3 linked regions of the Callithrix jacchus genome follow. The protein of the gene in region 3 interacts with the protein of the main gene of each other region in a pairwise test. Links are inferred from orthologs where the notes say so. Each region holds a gene or a part of one and is shown on either strand. Other genes may lie near its edges.

What was found.
Region 1: the proteins of ATF4 (region 3) and SNAP29 interact in a two-hybrid assay, tested with the Homo sapiens proteins (2 studies listed by BioGRID and IntAct). The link is inferred for Callithrix jacchus from reciprocal best matches to the Homo sapiens genes ATF4 and SNAP29.
Region 2: the proteins of ATF4 (region 3) and TRIB3 interact in binary tests that used the Homo sapiens proteins (3 or more experiments, as listed by UniProt). The link is inferred for Callithrix jacchus from reciprocal best matches to the Homo sapiens genes ATF4 and TRIB3.

The regions. Positions count from the first base shown.
Region 1 is NC_133502.1:193,241,655-193,249,444, forward strand, and holds part of SNAP29 (synaptosomal-associated protein 29), read right to left. Parts: intron 4,616-7,790; coding exon 4,530-4,615; intron 2,207-4,529; coding exon 2,108-2,206; intron 1-2,107. UniProt on the Homo sapiens protein: SNAREs, soluble N-ethylmaleimide-sensitive factor-attachment protein receptors, are essential proteins for fusion of cellular membranes.
Region 2 is NC_133506.1:8,138,914-8,146,703, reverse strand, and holds part of TRIB3 (tribbles homolog 3), read right to left. Parts: intron 4,145-7,790; coding exon 3,852-4,144; intron 1-3,851. UniProt on the Homo sapiens protein: Inactive protein kinase which acts as a regulator of the integrated stress response (ISR), a process for adaptation to various stress. Inhibits the transcriptional activity of DDIT3/CHOP and is involved in DDIT3/CHOP-dependent cell death during ER stress.
Region 3 is NC_133502.1:190,269,286-190,277,429, reverse strand, and holds ATF4 (cyclic AMP-dependent transcription factor ATF-4), read right to left. Parts: upstream 4,650-8,144; 5' UTR 4,459-4,649; intron 3,863-4,458; 5' UTR 3,771-3,862; coding exon 3,545-3,770; intron 3,444-3,544; coding exon 2,614-3,443; 3' UTR 2,529-2,613; downstream 1-2,528. UniProt on the Homo sapiens protein: Transcription factor that binds the cAMP response element (CRE) (consensus: 5'-GTGACGT[AC][AG]-3') and displays two biological functions, as regulator of metabolic and redox processes under normal cellular conditions, and as master transcription factor during integrated stress response (ISR).

The DNA.
Region 1 (7,790 bases), about 3.0 Mb from region 3:
CGGGCAGTACTTAGCTTTTTGTCCTGTCTCCTGGAATTCAGTATCCTTCATCAATGTCCCTTCTCCCACTTCCTGCCAGCAGGCACCAACCATACCACCTGCTCTAACCACTCCCTTTCTCCTGGTGAAGGACAAAGGGCTTTCAAGCCTCTCTGGGTTTCTCTGGAGTAGTCAGATCTGGGTAGACACACCTTCTACCTCGGAGAAGTCTTTGGCTCTGGAGAACAGAGTCCAGGAAACAGAAGGAGGCGGCGGCTGTCTGGGGCTTCCCAGAGAGTGAGCAGGAGCAAGCCTGTGCGTAGACACTCCATGTGCATCTTCATGAGTTTCAGTTTTGCCTCCCACTAGATATCTTTACAGCAGTGGGCGGGGGGTGGGGGTGGGGGTGGGAATCTTATTATTTCTCCTCTTCACTTTGCCAGCTCCAAACAGGGGCTGGGAGACTAACAGGGTGACCCAGGTAACCATGGGGGAGATTTCTGTTAATGGAGCAGCGGTAAGAGGAGGCAGCAAGTCTGAGACACTACCTAGAACAAAGACACGGAACTGCCCACAAGCCAGTACCTACTTAAATTACTGACTTCTCCAATAAATAATCACTGGCCAGGTCCGATGGCTCATGCCTACAGTCCCAGCACTTTGGGAGGCCGAGGCGGGACTGAGGTCGGGATTTTGAGACCAGCCTGACCAACCCGGAGAAACCCTGTCTCTACTAAAAATACAAAATGAGCTGGGCGTGGTGGCATATGCCTGTAATCCCAGCTACTCGGGAGGCTGAGGCAGGAAAATCACTTGAACCCAGGAGGTAGAGGTTGCTGTGAGCTAGATTCTGCCATTGCACTCCAGCCTGGGCAACAAGAGCAAAACTCCATCTCAAAAAACGAAACAAAACACCAGCAACAACAAAACAAAAAATAATCACTAAGTGCTTGCCTGCTGGGCCCCAGGTACAAAGTAGTGACAAAATGGAAACACTCCCATGCTGCCTGGAATCTGCAGTCTGGTTGGGAAGACAGCAGGCAAACCAGCAGATACACAATCACAAATGACCAGGGCAGCCCCCTAGAAACACAAGGGCCCCAAGAGATGGGGAGAGGACGCCACACTAATGCAAGACTGACAGGAGAAGGAGCCAGCCTGCAGAGTCGGAGGAGGCCACTCCAGGCAGATAAGGGTCACGAGGCAGAAAGAACTCATATCAGAAATCTCACATGAGCTTGCAGGTGATGAGGGCAGAAGGTACTAGGGCAGGCAGAGAGAGCCTGGACTGCATGGTGAGTGTGTGTGGGTTCCATGAGAGAGTTCTGGAAGAATATACCCCCTCACTCCCTTTTAATTTTTTTTTTGAGACCAAGTTTCACTCTTGTTGTCCAGGCCAGAGTGCAATGGTGCAATCTCAGCTCACTGCAACCTCCACCTCCCAGGCTCTAGCGATTCTCCCGCCTCAGCCTCCCGAGTAGCTGGGATTACAGGCACCTGTCACCACATCCGGCTAATGTCTATCTTTTTAGTAGAGATGGGGTTTCACATGTTGATCAGGCTGATCTTGAACTCCTGACCTCAGGCAATCCACTCGCCTAGGCCTCCCAAAGTGCTGGGATTACAAGCATGAGCTACCGCGCCCAGCCCCCTGCACTCGCTTCTGTTTTGAAACATCATGCTGGAGGCTGTGTCACCAAAGTGCCAATTGCAACACTAGTGCTAACTTTTACCATGCCAGGCACTTTCTGGCTCAGGTAATTGTCCCATTGTTCTCAGAGGCATCCCGTTTCACAGAAGAGGAAAACAGGGCTCTGAGTGGCCAATGGGAAAAATGGAGTGAGCGGTCATGTCCAGGCTACACTCGATGGCCTCTCAGGGACTCCTGGGTCCCTGGGTGCTATCATGAAAGAGAGGTAAGGACGGCTCAGTTGGGCTGGAAGTAGGAAATGGTGAGAAGTGGACAGATTCCAGAGACAGTGAAGTGGCAAAATGGACCTGGCTTAGTGTGGGATGTGATGTGTGGTGAGGGAGCTGAAGCTATAGGCTCCTGATGCAGGGGCTGTGCTTGGTGAGAGCTGCCTGAAGGACAGTGGCTTACAGAAGCTGGTGTGGTGCTCAGTCTTACCTAGGTTGCTGTCGATCTTCTGGTGATAGGCTCGAAGGTGTGGGTTCTTCGGGTAAGCATCAGTATTCACAGCAGAACCAGCCCCTCTAGGGATAGGGTCTAAGTTTAGAAGCAAACACCATGAGAGCAGTTACTTGACATTTCTTCAAATGCTGTTTCATATACCCAAAACAATTTCATCTGAAAAATGGGTGGAAGGAACGAGGGGGTTGGTTCTGAGGCCATCCAGACGGATGACGGAGGAGCACGGGGCAGGCTCATGGGTCAGAAGGAGAGACGCTTCCACAGGGCAAGGGAGGGTTACTGCTTTCCCTTAGTCCTTGGGAGATCAAAGACCCTCAACCTAAGGGTCACCTACTCAGACACTGGTGCACAAGCTCAGGAAAGAGAGTCACACAAGTGATGATATACCAGTGGAACTGCAATAACACAAAACTACATAGGCTGTGGACAAGGTCTAAAAATACTAATTGTTACGTTATAGAAATGGAAGTATGGGTAATTTTGTTTTTTTCTAAATTTCTACGCTATCTTTTCACTTGAAACAAGCAAAAAAGAAATGTTAACCCACACTTGCCCCGAGAAATCTTCCTTGAACTTCATTTTCTTCTTTACTAAAATTATCTTTCTCAGCTTGAATGAACTTTAGTTTCTAAATGCACACAGAAAAGCCCTATCATCCCAGTTATCTCTTTTGGGGAAATGTCACTTTCTAGACTTTGCATATTTCCTCCAGCATCAACCAACTGAAACCATTCTGCAAACTGTGTCAATTTTTTTTTTCAGTCTTTCAGGTTAATATATACCACACAAATGAAAACTCTCTTTAATTCCTTAAAATTGTGTCTTGGGTGAAGTGTCCTACAGCACTTCTCCAGGGTATGATGAGGCGGGTTTTCCCAGCCCTTGCCTTTCAATTTACACTCACTTCCTCCACTTGCATTTCCAGACTGAACTGTGCTGATGATGTCAGTCTCTCCTGCTCCCAGCTCTTCCTCCATCTGATCTCTCCTCAGCTGCATCAACCACAACCATGGTAGGTTCCAGAGTTTTCAAGGTGTGTTGTTTTCTTGAAGGCAGCAAAGTAAACCTTTGGTTTCCAACACCAATTTCAATGTACCTGGCTTTTGGGGGGCCTTTGGAGGAGGCCCCAGGAGTCTTAAATTCCTTTTCAGATAAGGAATGTTTCTGGGCTTATCACTTGATACAAGTGGGATAATTCAATCAACACTCACTGTCTTGCACATCTTGTTCATGTGGCTGCTGCTCCTCCTGCCTGGGCTGAAGGCTGTATTAGTCCCTCACTGATGTTGTGACAAATGACCACAAACTTGTCTTTCGGTTCTGGAGGTTGGAAGTCCAACATGGGTCACACTGGGCTGAGTCAGGGTGTCCTCAGGGTTGCACTCCTTCTGGGGCTCTTGGGAAGAATCTAATTCCTTGCCTTTTGCAGTTTCACTTACCTTCGTACCTTGGTAAGTGGCCCCTGTCTCCATCTTTAAGACCAGCAGCATCTTCAGATCTCTGACTCGGCCTCTCTCTCTTCTGTTTCCCTTTTCACTTAAAAATGACCTTTGTGATGACAATGGACCCAACTGGACAAAACAGGATAATCTTCCCATCTTGTTGATTAGCAGTTATAACTCCATCTGCAACTGTAATTCCCCCTTTGCCATATAATCTAACACACTCATGAGATTGGGGATTAGGACGTGGACAACTTTTGGGGCGACCATTATTCTATTTACCAAAGGGGTTTTTCTGTAGTCGGCTTTTTACTGCTGGAACAGCTGGAACAACTCAGAGCAACACAAGGCAGGAACCGATGGTGGGCAGGCTCATTTTCTTTTTTATTTTTTGAGATGGAGTTTCACTCTTGTTGCCCAGGCTGGAGTCCAATGGCGCAATCTTGGCTCACTGCAACCTCCGCCTCCCAGGTACAAGTGATTCTCCTGTCTCAGCCTCCCAGGTAGCTTGGATTACATGCATGTGCCATCATGCCCAGTTAATTTTTTTTGTATTTAGTAGAGATGGGATTTTATCATGTTAGTCAGGCTAGTTGTGAACTCCTGACCTCAGGTGATCCATCTGCCTCGGCCTCCCAAAGTGCTGGGATTACAGGCATGTGCTACCTCCCAAGGCTGGGCAGGCTCATTTTCAATCAAATGCAGGCCCCCACTTCCTTATTTTCCCCTCTATGGAGGGAGTGAAGGAGGGAGGTGCCCCACCATAACGCACACCCCCAGGTCCCCGAGAGCATGCTGGGTCCCTAAGGCCGTTCGGCTAGCATGGGTGATGCCAGCAGCTGGGGCCCCAGCCCACCTCCCCAGAGAGGTTGCCACTGCCTCCCAAGGACCAACACCAAACCTAGAGGTCTCCCCCAAGAATTCAAAAGTGGGTGTGCACACAGATCTCCACTCACCTGTATCATCCAGCTTTCTAAGGTTTGGGTGACTGGCCTGGTACTTTGCCTCCTGTTCTTTACTTGCACTTATGGCTTCTTTCAATCTTTGGATAAAAGTTTACAAAGAAAACTTTTAAAAAAGGAAAAGCCCCTATGACAGTGTTACCAATCTTTTCACATAATGCCTATGTGCTACAAATCAAATGCTTCCTCTGTGCCACACTCCTTCTGACCAAAGTAAGGATTTCAACAGCTTCTCCCAGGAGCACAGTTGGTTGTGCAGTAAGCTTATGAATATCCCTGACTTAGATAACACCTGCCTCAGAAGTGTGGCAACTAAGGTATGTGTGGTGTCTCATGCCTGTAATCCCAGCCCTTTGGGAAACTGAGGTGGGAGAATTACCTGAGCTCATGAGTGTGAGACCTGGGCAACACAGTGAGACATTGCAGCATCAAGTAGCACTGAGTTAGGTGGCCCCCCCTCTCAGAGAAACCAGGATTCCTAGGACCAGGCAGATGAAAAGCACATGAAACAACCAAACGGGTACTTTAGACCATGGTCAGCAAACAGTGAATGACCTGCCGACCTCTGTTTTTTATTATTTCCCAGTTCTTTTTTTTTTTCCTGGCCCACCTCTTGTTTTTGTATTATTTCCCAGTTTTTTTTTTCCTTTTTTGAGATGGAGTCTTGCTTTGTTGCCCAGGCTGGAGTGCAGTGGCATGATCTTGGCTCACTGCAACCTCTGCCTCTCGTTCAAGTGATTCTCCTGCCTTAGCCTCCCAAATAGCTGGGATTACAGGTGCGTACCACCATGTCCGGCTAATTTCTGTATTTTTAGTAGAGACAGGGTTTCACCATCGTGGCCAGGCTGGTCTTGAACTCCTGATCTCAAGTGATCCACCCAACTTGGACTCTCAAAGTGTTGGGATTACAGGCATGAGCCACTGCACCCAGTCTCAAGTTATTTTTATTGTGGTAAAATACACATAACAAAATTTCACCTGTTTTTATATAACCATGAGCAAATAAGGGCCTTACAGATGACCATCTGAACCTCAGATGATGAATTTTGAATTTTAAGGGTTTCATTCTTCTCAAGAGTGCACTTATATTACCAAAACACTGTACTCAACTATTACTGTTTTTGTTGTTGTTTGAGATAGGGAGTACAGCAGCGCAAAAACTGAAGTCTCTAACTCCTAGGCTCAAGTGATCCTCCCATCTCAGCCTCCCAGGTAGCTGAGACCAAGCACTTACCACCCTGCCTGGTGAATTTTTTTTTTTTGAGACAGTCCCGCTCTGTTACCTAGGCTGGAGTGCAGTGGCGTGATCTTGGCTTACTGCAGCCTCCACTTCCCATGTTCAAGCAATTCTCCTGCCTCAGCCTCCCAGGTAGCTGGAATTACAGGTACCCGCCACCATGCCCAGCTAATTTTTGTATTTTTAGTAGAGACGAGGTTTCACCATGTTGGCCAGGCTGGTCTCAAACTCCTGACCTCAGGTGATCCGCCCACCTCAGCCTCCCAAAGTGCTGGGATTACAGGTTTGTGTCACCACACCAGGGCAATTAAAAAATTTTTTTATTTTTGAGACAGTCTTGCTCTGTCACCCAGGGTGGAGTGCAGTGGCATGATCTCGACTTACTACAACCCTCCACCTCCTGGGTTCAAGCTATTCTTCTGCCTCAGCCTCCTGAGTAGCTGGGATTACAGATGCATGCCACCATGCCCAGCGAATGTTTTATATTTTTAGCACAGATGGCGTTTTACCATATTGGTCAAGCTAATCTTGAACTCCTGACCTCAAGTGAGCCACCTGACTTGGCCTTCCAAAGTGCTGGGATTACAGGTGTGAGCCACTGTGCCGGGTCTAATTTTTAAAAACTTTTTGTAGAAATGGGTCTTGGCCGGGCGTGGTGGCTCAAGCCTGTAATCCCAGCACTTTGGGAGGCCGAGGCAGGTGGATCACGAGGTCAAGAGATCGAGACCATCCTGGTCAACATGGTGAAACCCCGTCTCCACTAAAAATACAAAAAATTAGCTGGGCATGGTGGCGTGTGCCTGTAATCCCAGCTACTCAGGAGGCTGAGGCAGGAGAATTGCCTGAACCCAGGAGGCAGAGGGTGCGGTGAGCCGAGATCGCGCCATTGCACTCCAGCCTGGGTAACAAGAGCGAAACTCCGTCTTAAAAAAAAAAAAAAAAAAAAAAAAAAGTAATGGGTCTCACCAGGTTGCCCAGGCTGGACTTAAACTCCTTGAAATGAAGTGATCCTCCTGCCTCAGCCTCAAAAAGTGCTGGGATTACAGACATGAGCCACTGTGTCCAGCCTATTATTGTTTTTATATTTTGAATTTGTCACCAAAAAGTTGTGAAAATATGTTTTTTTCTCATCATGTAAGTCCCTATAAAATATCTTTGATTTTGCTCCATGGCCTAGTTTCCTAACACTGGCTATAGAAAGGGACACCTCTTGCAACTCAAAGTCATTTAGACTGTGCCTGATGCCCTAATTTTTCTATTTTTAGTAAAGATGGGGTTTCACCATGTTGGCAGGATGGTTTCGATCTCATCCTGCTGAGCCCTCCAAGGTGTGGCAGGTGCCTCCAGCTAGGAGCTGTGCCTCTCCAATAGCCTGCTCTTCTCCATCTCAACAGCAGCCTGACCACTTCACCAGCCAAGCTGGGAACCATGGTTACTTGCAATTTTAGCCCTCGCACAGTGCTACTCCCAGCAATCCAGGCAAAACAAACAGCCCCCCTCCTTTTTTTTTTTTTAAAGATGGAGTTTTGCTCTTGTTGCCCAGGCTGGAGGGCAGTGGCATGATCTCGGCTGACTGCAACCTCCACCTCCCAGGTTCAAGCGATTCTCCTACTTCAGCCTCCTGAGTAGTTGGGATTACAGGTATGCACCACCACACCCAGCTAATTTTGTATTTTTAGTAGAGATGGGGTTTCTCCATGTTGGTCAGGCTGGTCTTGAACTCCTGACCTCAAGTGATCTGCCTGCCTCAGCCTCCCAAAGTGCTGTGATTACAGGCGTGAGCCACCATGCCTGGCAACAAATACCCTCTTGATATCCCACCCTCCAGGTATCCCAGAAACCCAGTTTCTCCTTCTGCGTTTTTTTTTTGAGACAGAGTCTTATTCTGTCATCAGGCTGGAGTGCAGTGGCGCGATCTCAGCTCACCGAAACCTCCACCTCTCGAGTTCAAGTGACTCTCCTGCCTCAGCCTCACAAGTAGCTGGGAATACAGGCACACGCCACTACACCCAGCTAAT
Region 2 (7,790 bases), on a different chromosome or scaffold from region 3:
GAAACCATCTCTACAAAAAATACAAAACTTAGCCAGGTGTGGTGACTCACGCCTGTGGTCCCAGCTACTTGGGAGGCTGAGGCAGGAGGATATCATTTGAGCCCAGGAGGCAGAGGTTGCAGTGAGCTGTGATAGCTCCACTGCACTCTAGCCTGGGGGACAGAGTGAGAACCCATCTCAAAAAAAAAAAAAAAGTGTATCCTGCCATTTGCAATTTCTAGTTTAAACAGAGCACTCTAAGATGACTTTCATAGCAATCATTCTGTTACCACTGCTATTCATTTCTTCTTTATGGCACCACTTCCTGGGTGTCCATTGGCATTTCACAAATACCGACCAATCCTATGAATCACAGTATTGAGGGACGAGGAGTGTCAGCATTATTGGCCCATTTTACAGATGAAGATACAAAGGCTCAGGCAAGTGAAGTCATTTCTCGGGGCCAAAAAGCCGGTCAGAAGCAGAACCCAGGATTTAAACACAGGTCTATCTAACTCACGGTCTCTCTTCTACCAGTGCCTCTCATGTGACTTTTCTTCTTTAGAGACAGGGTCTCACTCTGTCACCTGGGCTGGAGTGCAGTGATGCAATCCTAGCTCACTGCAACCTCAAACGTCTGCGCTCAGCCTCCCAAGTAGCTGGGATCACAGGTGTGCACCACCACACCTGCCTAATTTTTCTAAATTTTTGTGCAGATGGGGTTTCACTATGTTGCCTAGGCTGGCCTCGAACTGTGGTGTTTAAGCAATCCTCCTGCTTAGGCCTCCCAAAGCACTGGGATTACAGGTATGAGCCATCAGATGATTTCTTAAAAAGAGCAGGAAGCACATTCTCTCTTCCAGAAGGTCTGGGGTAGTTGTATCTACTCTGAGCTTAAAATATGTTTGAAGTTATGCACTAGCTTAAAAGTCATTATAAATTCTACTTCTTTAAAAAAGGCATGCTTCTTTTACTATAAAATGTAAAAGGAAATATTAATAGAAAATCAGCCTTTGGGGCTGGGCGCGGAGGCCCACACCTATAATCTCAGCACTTTGGGCCAATACAGGCAGAGCACTTGATGTCCGGAGTTCAAGACCAGCCTGGCCAACATGGCAAAACCCCATCTCTATTAAAAATACAAAAATTAGCCAAGTGTGGTGGTGTGTCCCTGTTATCCCAGCTACTCAAGAGGCTGTCGGGAGAATCGCAAGAACCCAGGAGGCAGAGGTTGCAGGGCGTCAGGATCATGCCACTGCACTGCAACCTGGGCAACAGGGCGAGACTGTCTTAAAAGAAAAGAAAATTAGTCTTAGGCAAGCACCACAGTAATAACTGCTACAGGCAAGATGGATGGCTGCTAAAATTAGTAGGGGAAAGTTGAGGAAAAACAGGATATTTATATGCTTAGCTTACCTACCCCAAGGTATTTATCCATTACAAAGGCTAAATTAAAAACCTTAGAGGAGAGAAACCTGGCAGGTCCTACCCTAACCAAGTGATCAAGGTTACAACACAGTAATGACTATCAACTCAATGATATGATGTGGAGAGGGACCTATCAATTCTGTGTTGTTCTTGCCAAAAATATATAACCACGGCTGGGCGCGGTGGCTCACGCCTGTAATCTCAGCACTTTAGGAGGCAGAAGTGGGTGGATCACCTGAGGTCAGGAGTTCAAGACCAGCCTGACCAACATGGTGAAACCCCATCTCTAAAGAGATTATATATATATATATATAAAACTGCAATCTAACTTTAAGAAAACGTCAATCAAATCCAAATTGAGGGACATACAAAGTAACTGATCAGTACTCTTCAAAAGTCTCAAGGTTATGGTGGGAGCAGTGGCTCACACCTATAATACCAGCACTTTGGGAGGCTGAGGGGGGGCAGATTGCTTGAGCTCAGGAGTTCGAGGCCAGCCTGGGCAGTATAGCAAGACCCCATCTCAATTAGCCAGGCATGGTGGCACACACCTGTAAACCAGCTACTCAGGAGGGTGAGGTGGGAGGATCACTTGAGCCCAGGAGTTCAAGGCTGCAGTAAGCTATGATCACACCACTGCACTCCAGCCTTGGTGACAGAGTGAGATCCTATCTCAAAAAAAAAAAAAAAAAATCATGGGTTATCAAAGACGGGGAAAGACTGAGGAACTGTCTCAGATTAGACGAGGCCAAGGAAACCACTGATAACTAAATCGGGATCCTCACTGGATCCTGCACAGCAAGGGGTGTTCGTGGGAAACTCGGGAAGCCGGAACAAATTTGTGGCTTAGTTAATAGTACTCTCCCAAGGTTCATTTCTTAGTTTGAGTAATTGTACCATGGCTATGGCAAGTGTTAACATTGGAGGAAACTGGGGGAAGGATTTTTAGAAAATCTTGGAACTATTTTTGTAGCTTTTCTAAAAGTCTAAAATTATTTCAAGATAAAAAGTTTTAAAAAGTGTGCTGGGGTCACACTCCTTCCTCCACAGAAAAATTCTGTGTAACTGGCAGCTTAGTGCACTCCCTGACACATCCTGGATGCCCTCAGGAGGTGAGTCCCTCTGCCCTCCCCACCCCCAGAAGAATTATCTTTTAAAAATTTTTCTTAGCATCTAGGCCAGGTGTGGTGGCTCACACCTGTAATCCCAGCACTTTGGGAGGCTAAGGCAGGTGAATCACCTAAGGTTAAGAGTTTGAGACCAGCCTGGCCAACATGGCAAAACCCCATTTCTACTAAAAGTAGAAAAAAATTAGCCAGGCATGGTGGTGCGTGCCTGTAGTCCCAGGTACCCAGGTGGCTGAGGCAGGAGTATCACTTGAACCTGGGCAGCAGCGGTTGCAGTGAGCCATGATTGCGCCATTGTATTCCAGCCTCGGCAACGGGGGAGACTCTGTCTCAATTAAAAAAAAAATTTTAGCTTCCCAACCTAGAGAAGGAAGATTAAATTTTAACCAAAAAGTGCTAATTCTCAGTTTCACAGAAAAAGTTCCTGTGTGGGGAACCTCAGACCCTGTCTTGTTTTGAGTGTGGTCTTGGAATTCTGAAAACACCCTAACAATCCAGCCCTTTTCCCTACTAATGGAGAAACTGAGGCTCAGAGACACTAGGTCACCCAGAGTCAGTTGGTAAGCCCAGCCAGGACCCCTGTCCCTCTAGCTCAGACTGAAATAGGACCCAGGCTCTGGTTCAAATCCCAGGTCTACCATTTATTTCGCTGTGAGATCTTGGGCAAGTTACTTGTGCTCTCTGGGCCTCAATTTCCTTGATCATATGAGGATAATAATAATGCCTTCCTTGAGTTTGTAAGGAAGGAGACCACGGTAGATAATGCGGCGGTGCTTTCCTCACTGTCAGCTACTGTGACTTTCCCATCTCAGTGCCCCATCCCAGCATCCCAAGGAGCCCCCAAGAGGACTTCATCAACTCTTTTTCTTTTTTGAGATGGAATCTCACTCTGTTGCCCAGGCTGGAGTACAGTGGCACAATCTTGGCTCACTGCAACCTCTGCCTCCCAGGTTCAAGCTATTCTTCTGCCTCAGCCTCCCGAGTAGCTGGGATTACAGTTGTCAGCTATCACTCCTGGCTAATTTTTGTATTTTTAGTAGAGACATGGTTTCACCATGTCGGCCAGGGTGGTCTCGAACTCCTGACCTCAGGTGATCTACCCGTCTCGGCCTCCGAAACTGCTGGGAGTACAGCCATAAGCCACGGCACCCACCCAGCCTGAGTCAACTCTTCTCTGGTTACCAGACAGGGGCTGCTAGTTACTCCAGCCTCTCTACTTCTTACCTAAGTTACTTTGTTTCCTGGGCCTCAGTTTCTCTCCATCATGGCCCACCCCCTGGGTCTGTCTGTGGCTGGGATCTCTGCAACCACACTCACCTCTCACAGTCAGTAAAGACAAAGCGACGTAGCTTGAGATCACGCAGGACCAGACCATGCTGGTGACAGTGCGCCACGGCGGTGGCCATCTGGCGGAAGAGCGCAGCAGCCTCAGGCTCAGGGATGCGGCGGCGGTTTCGCACCAGGCTGTGCATGTCTCCGTGGGTCCGAGTGAAAAAGGCATAGAGCAGCTGGGTACCAGCCAGGACCTCAGTGGGCTGAGCCACATGCTTGTGTGGGGGCAGCCGCGCGTAGGGCTCCAGCACGGCCAGGGCCTCGTGGATGGGGTACACCTGTGGGCAGAGCATGATGTGAGCACAGCTGGGGACTCCCGGGAGCTGAGGCTGGCATTGCAAACATTGCAAACAGTCACAGCTGACCTGTTAGACACTACCATGTGCTAGCCATTGCACTAAGTGCTTCACTTACCAAGTCATTCAGCCCTTACCACAGTCTTATAAGTAGGACTCGCTTCGTTTTATAGTTAAGGAAGCTGAGAGGCCTCACAGCCAGCAAGCAGCACAGCTGGGATTTGAACCTGTGCACACCATTGTCTGTGCTTTTTTTTTTTTTTTAGACAGAGTCTGGCTCTGTCACTCAGGCTGGAGTACAGTGGCACAACTCAGCTTACTTCAAACTTGGCCTCCTGGGTTCAGGGGATCCTCCTGTCTCAGCCTCCCGAGTAGCTGGGATTATAGGCATGCGCCACCACAACCAGCTCATTTTTATATTTTTAGTAGAGATGGGGTTTCACCATATTGACTAGGCTGGTCTCAAGCTCCTGACCTCAGGTGATCCTCCCACCTCAGCCTCCCAAAGGGCTGGGATTACAGAAATGAGCCACCATGCTCGGCCTTTTGTTTGTGCTCCTAACTGCTATGCTATATGGCCTCAAACATCAGATAACTGAAAAATAACAAATCACTCAAACGGAAAAATAACCCTCAAAGCATCTTCCAGAAGAGCGGATGATGCAGAAGGCACCTGATGCCCATCACCCTCACAGCTCCTGTCCTCTAGGCTTGACTGCCAACCTTTATTCAGCAAGCTGGCCCTGGGCCTGCATGGCCAGCTGTGTGTCCAACCGCACTGACAGTCATGGACTCTGCTCCCCCATGCCCACTGGGAAGCCAGTGCCCCGAAACTAAATATTGACAAATGTGGACGAGTATCGCAAAGGAACCAAGAAAGATGCAGGAATAGAGCGTTTTGTTTTCTTTTTGTTGTTGCTGTTTGAGACAGAGTTTTGCTCTTGTTGCCCAGGCTGGAGTTCAGTGGTACAATCTTGGCTCACTACAACCTCTGCCTCCCGGGTTCAAGTGATTTTTCCTGCCTCAGCTTCCTGAGTAGCTGGGATTATAGGCATGTGCCACCAAGCCTGACAAATTTTTGTATTTTTAGTAGAGACAGGGTTTTGCCAAGTTGGCCAGGCTGGTCTCGAACTCCCAACTTCAGGTGATCTGCCCGGTTTGGCCTCCCAAAGTGCTGGATTGCAGGCATGAGTCACTGCGTGTGGTCTGGAATAGAGTATTTTGGAAGGGGGCACCCATTTTAGAAAGTATGGTTCAACAGGGACTCTGGGGAAATGATCTGAATGACCCAGAGATGCCCATGGAATAAGCTTTCCGAGTAGGGACATAGGCAGTGCAAAGGCCCTGAGGCAGGAAAAAACCTGGCCTGCTCTAAAAACCCAACCAAAAATCAAAGGGGTGAGGAAGGGAAAAAGAACATGGGATGAAGGTGATGAGGTTGATGGGAAATGTATTAGGGGTCTATGGGCATCACAGCAAAACCTCGCCCTAGCCTGAAATGTGTGTCCCATTTTACCAATGGTAAGACTGGGTTCAGAAAAGGAAATGACTTATTAGAAGCCAGACAGCCGATCAGTGGCAGAACTAGTATACTCACTTCTTTTTGTCTGACTTTAAATCCTTTGCATGTTGTGTTGACTATGCCATGAAGAAAAATAAATGAGACACATATATATTTAATCCATGATTTAAAAAGTTGAAGTACATGACTTTAAAAACCAGTTGGGCTGGGTGCAGTGGCTCACCTGTATCCCAACACTTCAGGAGGGTTAGGTGGGAGAATCACTTGAGGTCAGGAGTTTAAGACCAGCCTCACCAACATGGTGAAACCCTGTCTCTACTAAAAATACAAAAATTAGTCAAGCATAGTGGTGTGCACCTGTAATCCCAGCAACTCGGGAGGCTGAGGCAGGAAAATCACTTGAACCTGGGAGGTGGAGATTTCATTGAGTCAAGATCATGCCACTGCACTCCAGCCTGGGTGACAGAATAAGACAAAAAAAAAACAAAAAAAAAACCAGTTGGGGTGACATGGGGGAAATAACCCCAAAACAGAGATTACATTTTTTTTAGTTGGGGCGAGCACATTCCTGCCCACGTGCACTTGCACTTGCTGAACCTGCTGCCTGGATGCTCTTCCACTAGACCACGAGGCTGACTCCTTCCATTTGTTCAAGTCACTGCTCAAACATCACCCCTCAGAGAGGTCTTCCTGGACCTCCCTTGCTAAAATCACCTGCACTCCTGCCTTCCTTGTCCTCTGATCTCCCTGTTCCCAGATTTATTTTTCTCCATAGTGCTTATGATTACCTGACACATTTTTTTCTTTCTTTTTTTTTTTTTTTGAGACAGAGTCTTGCTCTGTTGCCCAGGCTGGAGTGCAATGGTGTGACCTCTGCTCATTGTAACCTCCACCTCCCAAGTTCAAGTGATTCTCCTGACTCAGCCTCCCAAGCAGCTGGGACTACAGGTGCACACCACCATGCCCAGCTAATTTTTGTATTTTTATTAGAGACAGGGTTTCACCATATTGGCCAGGCTGGTCTTGAACTCCCAACCTCATGATCCACCGGCGTCTACCTCCCAAAGTGCTGGGATTACAGGCGTGAGCCACTGCGCCCGACCACCTGACACATGTTTTACTTATTCACTTGTTTATCGTCTGTATCTCCCACTAGAATGTCAGCTTGATGGGAACAGAACTTTGTTTTTAACCACAGCATGGTACACGGCCAATATGTGTGCTCAATGAAGTTGTGTTGATTAATGAATAAGGTGATAACTTACAAAGACAGGATATTGATCTTTCTACACACCAACCAGAAAAGCTAAGAAAGTGTGGAAACGATCATTCAGTGCCCGTGTTGCACACTGGCATGGGGTGAGTATGTTCCAGTGGATTTTTGCCAATGTCTCTGGAGAATCGGGGCCCTGTGAACGCATGGCGCTTCTGTCCTGATCCTGCTTGCGTTACTCCTCTCGCCACAGACTCACCTCCGCAGGGGGAGTGGAAACAAACCTGTGATGCTGCAGGAAGGGGACCCAGAGTTCCAGGCTCCTTGGGGCACCTGGTTAGAGCACTGGAGATCTGCACACAAGAGCCCTGACGAAGCTAGGGGCTGGACTCTGTCTGGATCTACCCCCTGCTCACTGCATCTCCATCAACAGAGCAAAACTCTGCTGCTGCTCCCAAGAGGGGGAGGCTTAACTCCTTCTGCCTCTCTGTGCATTCCCAAGGGACCCAGGCCCACGCTACTCTCCCTTGTGTATCCAGGTCCCCTTATCTTCCTTATGCTTACCTGCCAGGACAGCCTGCCCTGATTGTGTCTGAAACACTTTATCCTACACAGGCACAGGACTCTCTGGACTCAGCCTTCCGGGCCCAATCCCAGCTCTGATACCTCCTGACTCTGTCATGTGGCAAGTACCAGGCTTTCTGAGTCTCAGTGTCCTCTATCTGTAAAATGGGCACACTGACAGTAACAGTAACCACCTCATTGGTTGTGTGAAGATGAAGAGACTGCGCACACGAAGCAATCAACATGGTACTGGGTGCGCAGTGAATACCTATGGTTACATTTTCATTCTCATTTCTGTCCTCTTGGACGGTCACTTGCCAGTGTCCTGC
Region 3 (8,144 bases):
CAACCACTCCTGCCTGTGAGGCCCCTTCCTATCCCCTGGGTCCCTGGTCACTGGATAAAACCCAGCTCCACGTCTGACCTGGTCAGCCCAGGCTGGGCTAGCCAAGGCCCGGCAGGGGCCACAAGTTGCCACATGCAGGGTGGTGGCCGGACATCAACCTCATCCCTGCCCCCTCTTCCCATACCCCTGTTGTGCTGGGCTCTCTGGAACAGACACCTGCCCAGCCAAATGCAGAGGTCTGTCCAGGTTGCTATCACTGCCTATACCAGCTGCCGCTGGGCCAGTGTCTACCCCCAGGCCAGGCTTCCCAAGGGTGCCTAAGTCTGGGTCTCAGCTGCATCAGCAAGAGGGGGACAGTCATAAGACCCTCCACTGCCTCTCAGGAGGACTCTGAGCTCATCACTGGAAGGCACCTAGAGCCCCAGAGCTCTTTGAACATGTTCGCTGCAGTCATTTTTGCTATTTCCCAGGCACTTCTGTAGTCCTGGAAATATGGGAATGAACAAGACAGCAAAATATCTGCTGTCATAGAGTGAGTTTATATTGTAGTTTGCGAATGGAGAAGAGAAAGTGGATCTGTATACAGATAAACTCAATGGAGAAAAAGTTATGAAAAAAATACAACAGGGCAAAGGATAGTCTGGGACATGAGCAGGGTCACCTTGGAAGGCTCCTGCAGTAGCATCAGACTGAACAGGGTGGGAGGCAGCCAAGGGAAACTCTCAGGCAGGGAGAGCAGCAAGTGTAAGGCTCTGAGGCAGGACCCAGCCTAACAGACAGATGGAGAAAAGGCTGGAGTACAGTGAGGGGAGGAGGTGAGGTCAGGGAAGAGGGCAAAGCCATTGTGGCCTGAGCTGGTGCCTTCTGTGTCTGGGAGGCCTGAGCTGCAGGGGCCTGGGAAGGGCACAGCCCCAGCATCCTGGCTTCACACCACTGGCCCACACTGCCCTTCTTGGTGCCTGTTTCTCATCTGCCAAATGAGGGCCGACCCCCACTGGCACTGGATGACTGATATCACACCCTACGCCTATTTAGAACCTGGATGTGGATGGAAGCCCATGGCCTTTGGAGAATTCTAGAATCTCGGCAGGAAAGACCTCTAAGAGCACGAGGTCCAAGACCCATGTGTGATGCCCACTCCCACTGGTGCCTTGGGCAACTTCTTTACGAGTGGCATGCAACACATCCACAGCTGGCTCTCAGGTGACAGTCTATGCTGGCCATGTGGGCCCCAGCATGCTGGTCATTACAGGCCATTTGTTTCCAGCTCAAGAGGCAAAATGAAGAGCCCAGACTGGAGATCGAGTCCTGGGTTCAAATCCCAGCTCTACCTCTTTGCTCAAAATCCTTCTGGGTGAGCTGGGCGCTGTGGCTCACGCCTATAATCCCAGCACTTTAGGAGGCGATCACCTGAGGTCAGGAGTTCAAGACCAGGCTGGCCAACATGACAAAAACCCCATCCCCACTAAAGATACAAAAATTGGCTGGGCGTGGTGGTAAGCATCTATAATCTCTGCTACTCAGGGGGCTGAGGCATGAGAATCACTTGAACCTGGGAAGCAGGGGTTGCAGCGAGCAAGTGTGGTGTCTGCGCCATTAGATTTCTGCAGGGACTGGATTAAAGGACACGCATGCTGTGCTGTTAGAGCAGTGGCTGGGCTGCACTCACCCTCACTCTCCTCCCAGACGCTCCCCGGACACACCTGGTCTACACCACCTTCCACATGAGGAAAACTGGTTTGGCTGATACCCAGACACAAAAGGCCAGATCTGCCCAGGCTGGGCTTATCCTTGCATTCAAGCATTCATCCACAACCCAAAAGGCATTGCCTGCCTGAAAAGGCAAATGCGCCCCACCCACGGGTAAGTCTGAAACTGCAGTGAGATACTGCCTGGCTTCTAAGTGCTGCTCCATCCTAACATAACCCGAGGACATCAGGCCTTCTAGTTTAGGTAGCGGCAGGCACAACAGCCTTCACTGTTGCCTTAGTGCCCAGCTCTAACCAGAACCTGTGCAGAATGTCGTATTTCCACCCCCAGGTAAGGAGAAAGAGGCCTGTCTCCAGCCCGCGTCCTGCTTCAACATCAAGTCCCAAAAGGAGCTGTTTCTCAGAGGCTTCTGCAGAACTGTTTAGGTTATAAGTGAAACCTAATCCTACGTGCTCACCTCAAGGAGTGTGCAACCTTGCCCAGGGTTTTATGTGACAGGATGTTGGCACGAAGGCCTTGAACACACAGGTGAAGGCCCAGGCTGTTCCTCCCTTCAAACCGCCTCCCTACCTGACCAGCACTCAGCTCTGGCCAAAACCCAGCTTGCTACAACCAGCTCTAGAGAGCCCCATCAAAGTCATCAGCCACCATGGTCTACACCTAGCAGGGATAAGCAAATCCCACCCTGGGTACAAATCTAGTCTTAGACTGCCCTCCTCCCCAGATTGCACAGGGCACATTAAGACCAGCATGGGGCAGGCGGATGGTAGCGGTTTCACTCTGTTACTGTGCCAAAAGGAATTACACACATGGAAGTATTCACTACAAAATAATTTATTCACACACACAGCTACAGCGAGAGACTCCTATGTACAAGCACCTTGCGCTCCTGACTACCCTCAACTAGGGGACCCTTTTCTTCCCCCTTGCCTTGCGGACCTCTTCTATCAAATCTTTCAGGTATTGGATCTCCTTGGCCAAGGAATCTGCCCTCTCTTTTAGAGCTTCGTTCTTCTTTTCCAGCTCCTTACACTCACCAGTGAGGGCCTCCTGCTCTGCCCTCTTCTTCTGGCGGTACCTAGTGGCTGCTGTCTTGTTTTGCTCCATTTTTTTCAGTTTCTTATCCAGTTTCTCACCCTTTACTTTTGCTGCTACCATTTTCTCTCCAGGAGGGTCGTAAGGTTTGGGACGGGCAGAGTCACAGAGGACACCTGGAGATGTGAGGCTCCTATTTGGGGAGCCCCTGGCAGAGGGGCTATGCTGGGGGGAGCCCAAATAGGACTCTGGGCTCATACAGATGCCACTATCATTATCTGAGGGGGTGTCTTCCTCCTTTATGCACTGCGGGATCATGGCTATGTAAGCAGTGGAGTCTGACTTCGTATCTCCTTCAGAGATACCTACTTCACTGCCCAGTTCTAAACTAAAGGAATGATCTGGAGTGGTGGAGAGGACCCCGGGGGATAGGGGAAGAGGTTCCAAGAAGGTGAAAGGGGCAACCTGGTCGGGTTTTGTTAAACTTTCTGGGAGATGGCCAATTGGGTTCACCGCCTGGGGGGGCTCCTTATTAGTCTCCTGGACTAGCGGGGCAAAGAGGTCACATGTGTCATCTAACGTGGCCAAAAGCTCATCTGTCATGGTTTCCAGGTCATCTGTAGCCAACAGGGAATCAAAGTCAAACTCTTTCAGATCCATTTTCTCCAACATCCAATCTGTCCCGGAGAAAGCATCCTCTGCAAAAGATACGAGTGATGGGCCCAGTGAGTCAGACACAAAGATAGCAAGCCCCTAACCCCAGATCCCACCTGGATGTGGCTGGTGGCAGCCTACTCACCCTTGCCGTTGTTGGGGGCACTGACCAACCCATCCACAGCCAGCCATTCGGAGGAGCCCGCCTTAGCCTTGTCGCTGGAGAACCCATGAGGTTTGAAGTGCTTGGCCACCTCCAGGTAGTCATCTAAGAGACCTAGGCTTTCCTCAGCCCCCAAACCCGACTGGTCGAAGGGGGACATCAAGTCCCCCTCCAACACCTCGCTGCTCAGGAAACTCATCTCGGTCATGCTGCGGTGCTTCGCTGGAATCGAGGAATGTGCTTAATTCGAAGGTGTCTTTGTCGCTTACAGCAACGCTGCTGCTGAATGCCGTGAGAAGCCTGAATAAGAATCAGAAGCCAAGTCCCATTACGTTAGCTGATCTAAGAATTTCATCTTTCCACTTATGAGGTGGGACGGCTAAACCGGCCATCTAGAGACAGGGCAGATGTATTCCCCCCCCAGCCCCCCTCCCCCCGCTTCCAGCTCAGGTTCCACAAAATGGACGATCGTGGAGGACCGGCCATTCCCTCACTGGCCAACAGGAAAGCGCTCCGTCTCCGCGTCCAAATACGGCCAGGGCGGCTACGCCCCGCCCACCGCCCGCCCGTGACTCACGCCCGCGGCGCCGCCCTGCGGCCGCCATCTTGGCTTCTGCCACGTTTCGCGGGTGGGACAGTTGAGACCCTCAGGGAAACGTCTCGAGGTACGAGGGTGGCGAGACCCCCGGGGAAGCAGTCCTGGCACCTAGCTGCGCTTTCCCGGCCCCGGGTACGCGAGCGTCTCGGAAACACCCAAGCAGAGACTACAGCGTCCTTGGCGCTCGTAAAATCGCTTCCCTCTTGGCGGCACCGTCCCGGCCCCATGCCGCGCCCCACCAGCCCAAAACCCTCGCCGACCCAGGGAGCACGGCTGGATAGCCCGCCCGGATACTCACGCCATGGCTTAAGCCGCTGGGGTGCCGCTGCAGAGCCTGGTGCTGCTGCCGCCGCTGCAAAGGCCAACGCTGCCGCAGGCACTGCTGCCCCTAATACGCCATGGTGGCCTTGGACCCTGCGGGCGGGGAGGAGGGAAGGCGCGCACGTGCGTGAAGAACTACATCTATGAGAGAGAGAAGTAGAAATGGCCGCAGCCGCCGCCCGTCGGCCCTTTATAAAGTTCGCCTCCGCTGGAACACAGCACAGACTTATCCTTCCGCAGCAGCCACGTGACCGTCTCCTCCCGTCTGCTCGCTTCCCTCCCTCTGACGCCCCCACCACCTATGTCCGGGCGCAGCTGTGACAGGAAAAGGAATTTGTTTCTATGGCCTCATGAAAGGAGAGAGGCGCACTACTTTATTAGTTTCTATGATTAAAGAGTCCGTTCTTACCTTTGCCGCCGGAGCGCGGAGTGATCTCTCAGACACGCCTCGCTTCCGGTGTCGGCGCAGTGGGCGGGGAGAGGTGGTTTTCCCACAGAGGGTTTTCATTGTGAAGGCCGAGGCCGCCAGGTTATCGCGCGAGGTGCTGGTGTAGAGCGCGCGTCGAGCTGATTGGCCCAGGCGCGGTGAGTCATATATACCTCGAGCTCTTATTGGCTCAGGGCCCTAGGTGGGTGGCTGCTGCGAGAGGGAGCCCAGGGCTTGCGCGGGAAGGGCCGGGGTTCGGGGTTGTCTGCTCTGTCTCAGCCCCTCCCGCCTGCTAGCCCGCCATGATCGCGCCGACTTCTGCCCCCAGGTGGCCTTAGTGCCATGCGACCCACAGCGGCCTCGAGGCCCGGCCCCAGCTGTCGGTCCCGCCGCCCTCAATGGAGGTCCGCGCTGGCGGCTATGTCGCCGCTCCCAGCCTGCGCGCTTCTTCGGTGCACGCTGCGCTGATTTATGGCCTGCGGAAGCCGCGGGGTTACCTGCACCAAGCCTGAGTCTTCCAGAGACCCCATCCATAGCCAACATGGTGCTGTCCTCGGAAGGCTGAAGGGGTCTTAAGAGGGCGCCCCGTCCTCGCCTACCTGCCCGCAAAGGCCGGCTGAGTCTGCATGGCCCCTCCTAAACTCTGGAAAGGAGCCGGGAAGACGCGCCATCCTGTCGTCCAACCTGGGTTTTTACAGTTCTCATCCGGCTCAAGTGCAAGGCTGCTACGGAATTGCATCAGAGGGGAACTTCTGGTGGCCTCAGGTTCCGTTCTGTTCCCCTAGGAACAGGATTTTTCTTCGCTGCCGTCTCTCTGGGGTAGTTTCGATTCACTCCGGATTCTGAACTCCCCAGCCTAACCCGCTTTTCAGCAGTCACGTTCATGGCCCTGGGAGGAGAGGCGCCTGGGAACCCACGGCCACTTGCTGGGGGTTGTGCGTTGGGAAGGGGTAGTCTGTTTAAAGAATACAAGAAACCTCCCCATAGTCCCCCAGCTCCCTCCAGTCAGGCCCCGCGAAGGTGGAAACCTTCCGCCTCCATTTCACTGAGCCACACAAGTATTTCTATGAGCGCTGTGATACAAAAAAACCGGGGAAGCACTGCTGTAACCACAGGCCATCTGCTGCGCTCATTCAACCTCGCCCAAAGAAATCCTTTCTAATGGAGGCCCAAAGGGATGAAGCTTCTTGCTCAAAGTCACGCAGCTCCCAGTGGAAGGAGTTTGGAGTAGGAGTTGGAAGACATTTTGGGGAGAACACGCAAAAGAATCCTGGCTGGGACATTTTGGCTAAGTGACTTATCCTCTCTGAGCCTCGGTTTCCTCATTTGTAAAATGAGGCTATTGATGAGTCTCCTTACCCCATGAAGTGAAATCATACATGTAAAGCACTTAGCACAGCACCTGATAACACGTAACCAATAATGGTTGCTGTTGCTGCTACCGGTCATAGAACTCAGGTTTCCTTACCCTGACCTCTGTCACTGTCTTCATCACATCCTCCTGGTGCCTCAGAGGACTCTTCACTATTATTTACTGAAAGGAAACAACCGGTATACACAAGGCATACTGGATGCTGGAATAAAAGTATGGTTTTTCTTTCTCCTTGGGGAATCATGAGTGTCGAGATATACAGAAGCTGGTTCCAGAGCAGTGGCTCCAGCCTGTAGTCCCAGCTACTCAGGCTGAGGTGGGAGGATTGCTTGAGCCCAGAGTTCCAAGCTGCAGTGAGCTGTGATTGTAACACTGGAACTCAGCCTGGGCAACAGAGCAAGACCCTGTCTTAAAAAAAAAAAAAAAGGAAATTGTCTAGCCTTTTCATGCAAATGCAGTAAGAATCCCTGAGCCATTAACCACATCTTCCAAAGGCAGATCTAGGGAGCCACAGGACAAGACACTACTGGCCGGGCATGGTGGTTCATGCCTGCAATCCCAACACTTTGGGCGGTGTAGGCAGGAGGATTGCCTGAGGTCGAGTGTTCCAGACCAGCCTGGCCAGCATGGTGAAACCCCCGTCTCTACTTAAAAAAAAAAAATACAAAAACTAGCCAGGCATGGTGGCAGGCACCTGTAATTCAGCTAGAATTGCTTGAACCCAGGAGGCAGAGGTTGCAGCGAACAGAGATCGCACCTTTGCCCTCCAGCCAGGGTAACACAGTGAGACATGTCTCAAGGAAAAAAACCTACCTCCTGATGGATAGTGCAGATGGTTAAGAATTAAAGTAACACTTCCCGTTCCGACACTGAAAAGGTCGTGGAAGAATGACTCCATTAGCAGTTTGTCCCATACATTCTCTTATAGAGACCTAGCTCAAACACTTCAAAGGTTCCCCTAGCTGAAAATGGAGACCCAGTACCACTCCCACAGGAAAATGTTTGATCCGCCACACACAAGTCAAAGCTGTTCGAAAGATTTTATTTTCTTCTTCCCATGCTATGGAAGGACATTGTGTTCCCCAGTTTCATTTCCTCCCTCAGGGAGAAAAAGGACAGCAGGTCTCTGGGTCTCAGGGCTAAGCTGACTCTACCTAAATAGACTTAGCCAAGACAGGACGGAAAGACTGGTGACTGATTCCAAATTTACCAGCTAACACATCAACCACCACTGGTGGGCAGGCAAGTGACTAGAAGGCAAGTTGTGGGCTTCGCCTCAGGAACCAAGAATTTAAAGACTACAGGTGACCAAAATGTAAAGGTAAACACCTCATGTGCAGCTGACCACAGACCCCACATCTCTGGTATTCTGGCCACTTACAGTTAAGTTGGATCTAAAAGGGATGCAGCCTTGAGCCTGCTACAGGGGTCAGCTCTACCCTAAGTCTCCTATAATTCTCCTTGGCCTTGAGCTTCAGATAAAAGGGCAGAGTTCTAACAAATCCCAGCATTAAGTTCTCAGCCAAGTCAGAGTCCCAAGGAATTACCATGGCAGGGAGATCTGGACACACGCAGTAGTCTCTATTTACAGAAACCCCCTCGGGGACTCTCCTGGGTCATTCAATCCTGAAGCTGATTCTCCTTCAAGATTATTTGAACTCTCAACTTGAGTGGAGTGCAGGGAGCACAGTCACCAAGTGTGGAATATGGACAAGTGGCCCACAAGGGCCAGGACCCAGGAGACTGAAGGCCGGCCTCTGTGACACTTTTTTCAACTTGAGCTTCAACATTTCTTTCCTTTAATTAAATAAAATGTAAAAAGTCACAACCAAGCATGTAAAGAAAAAAATACTGTCGTCTTGAA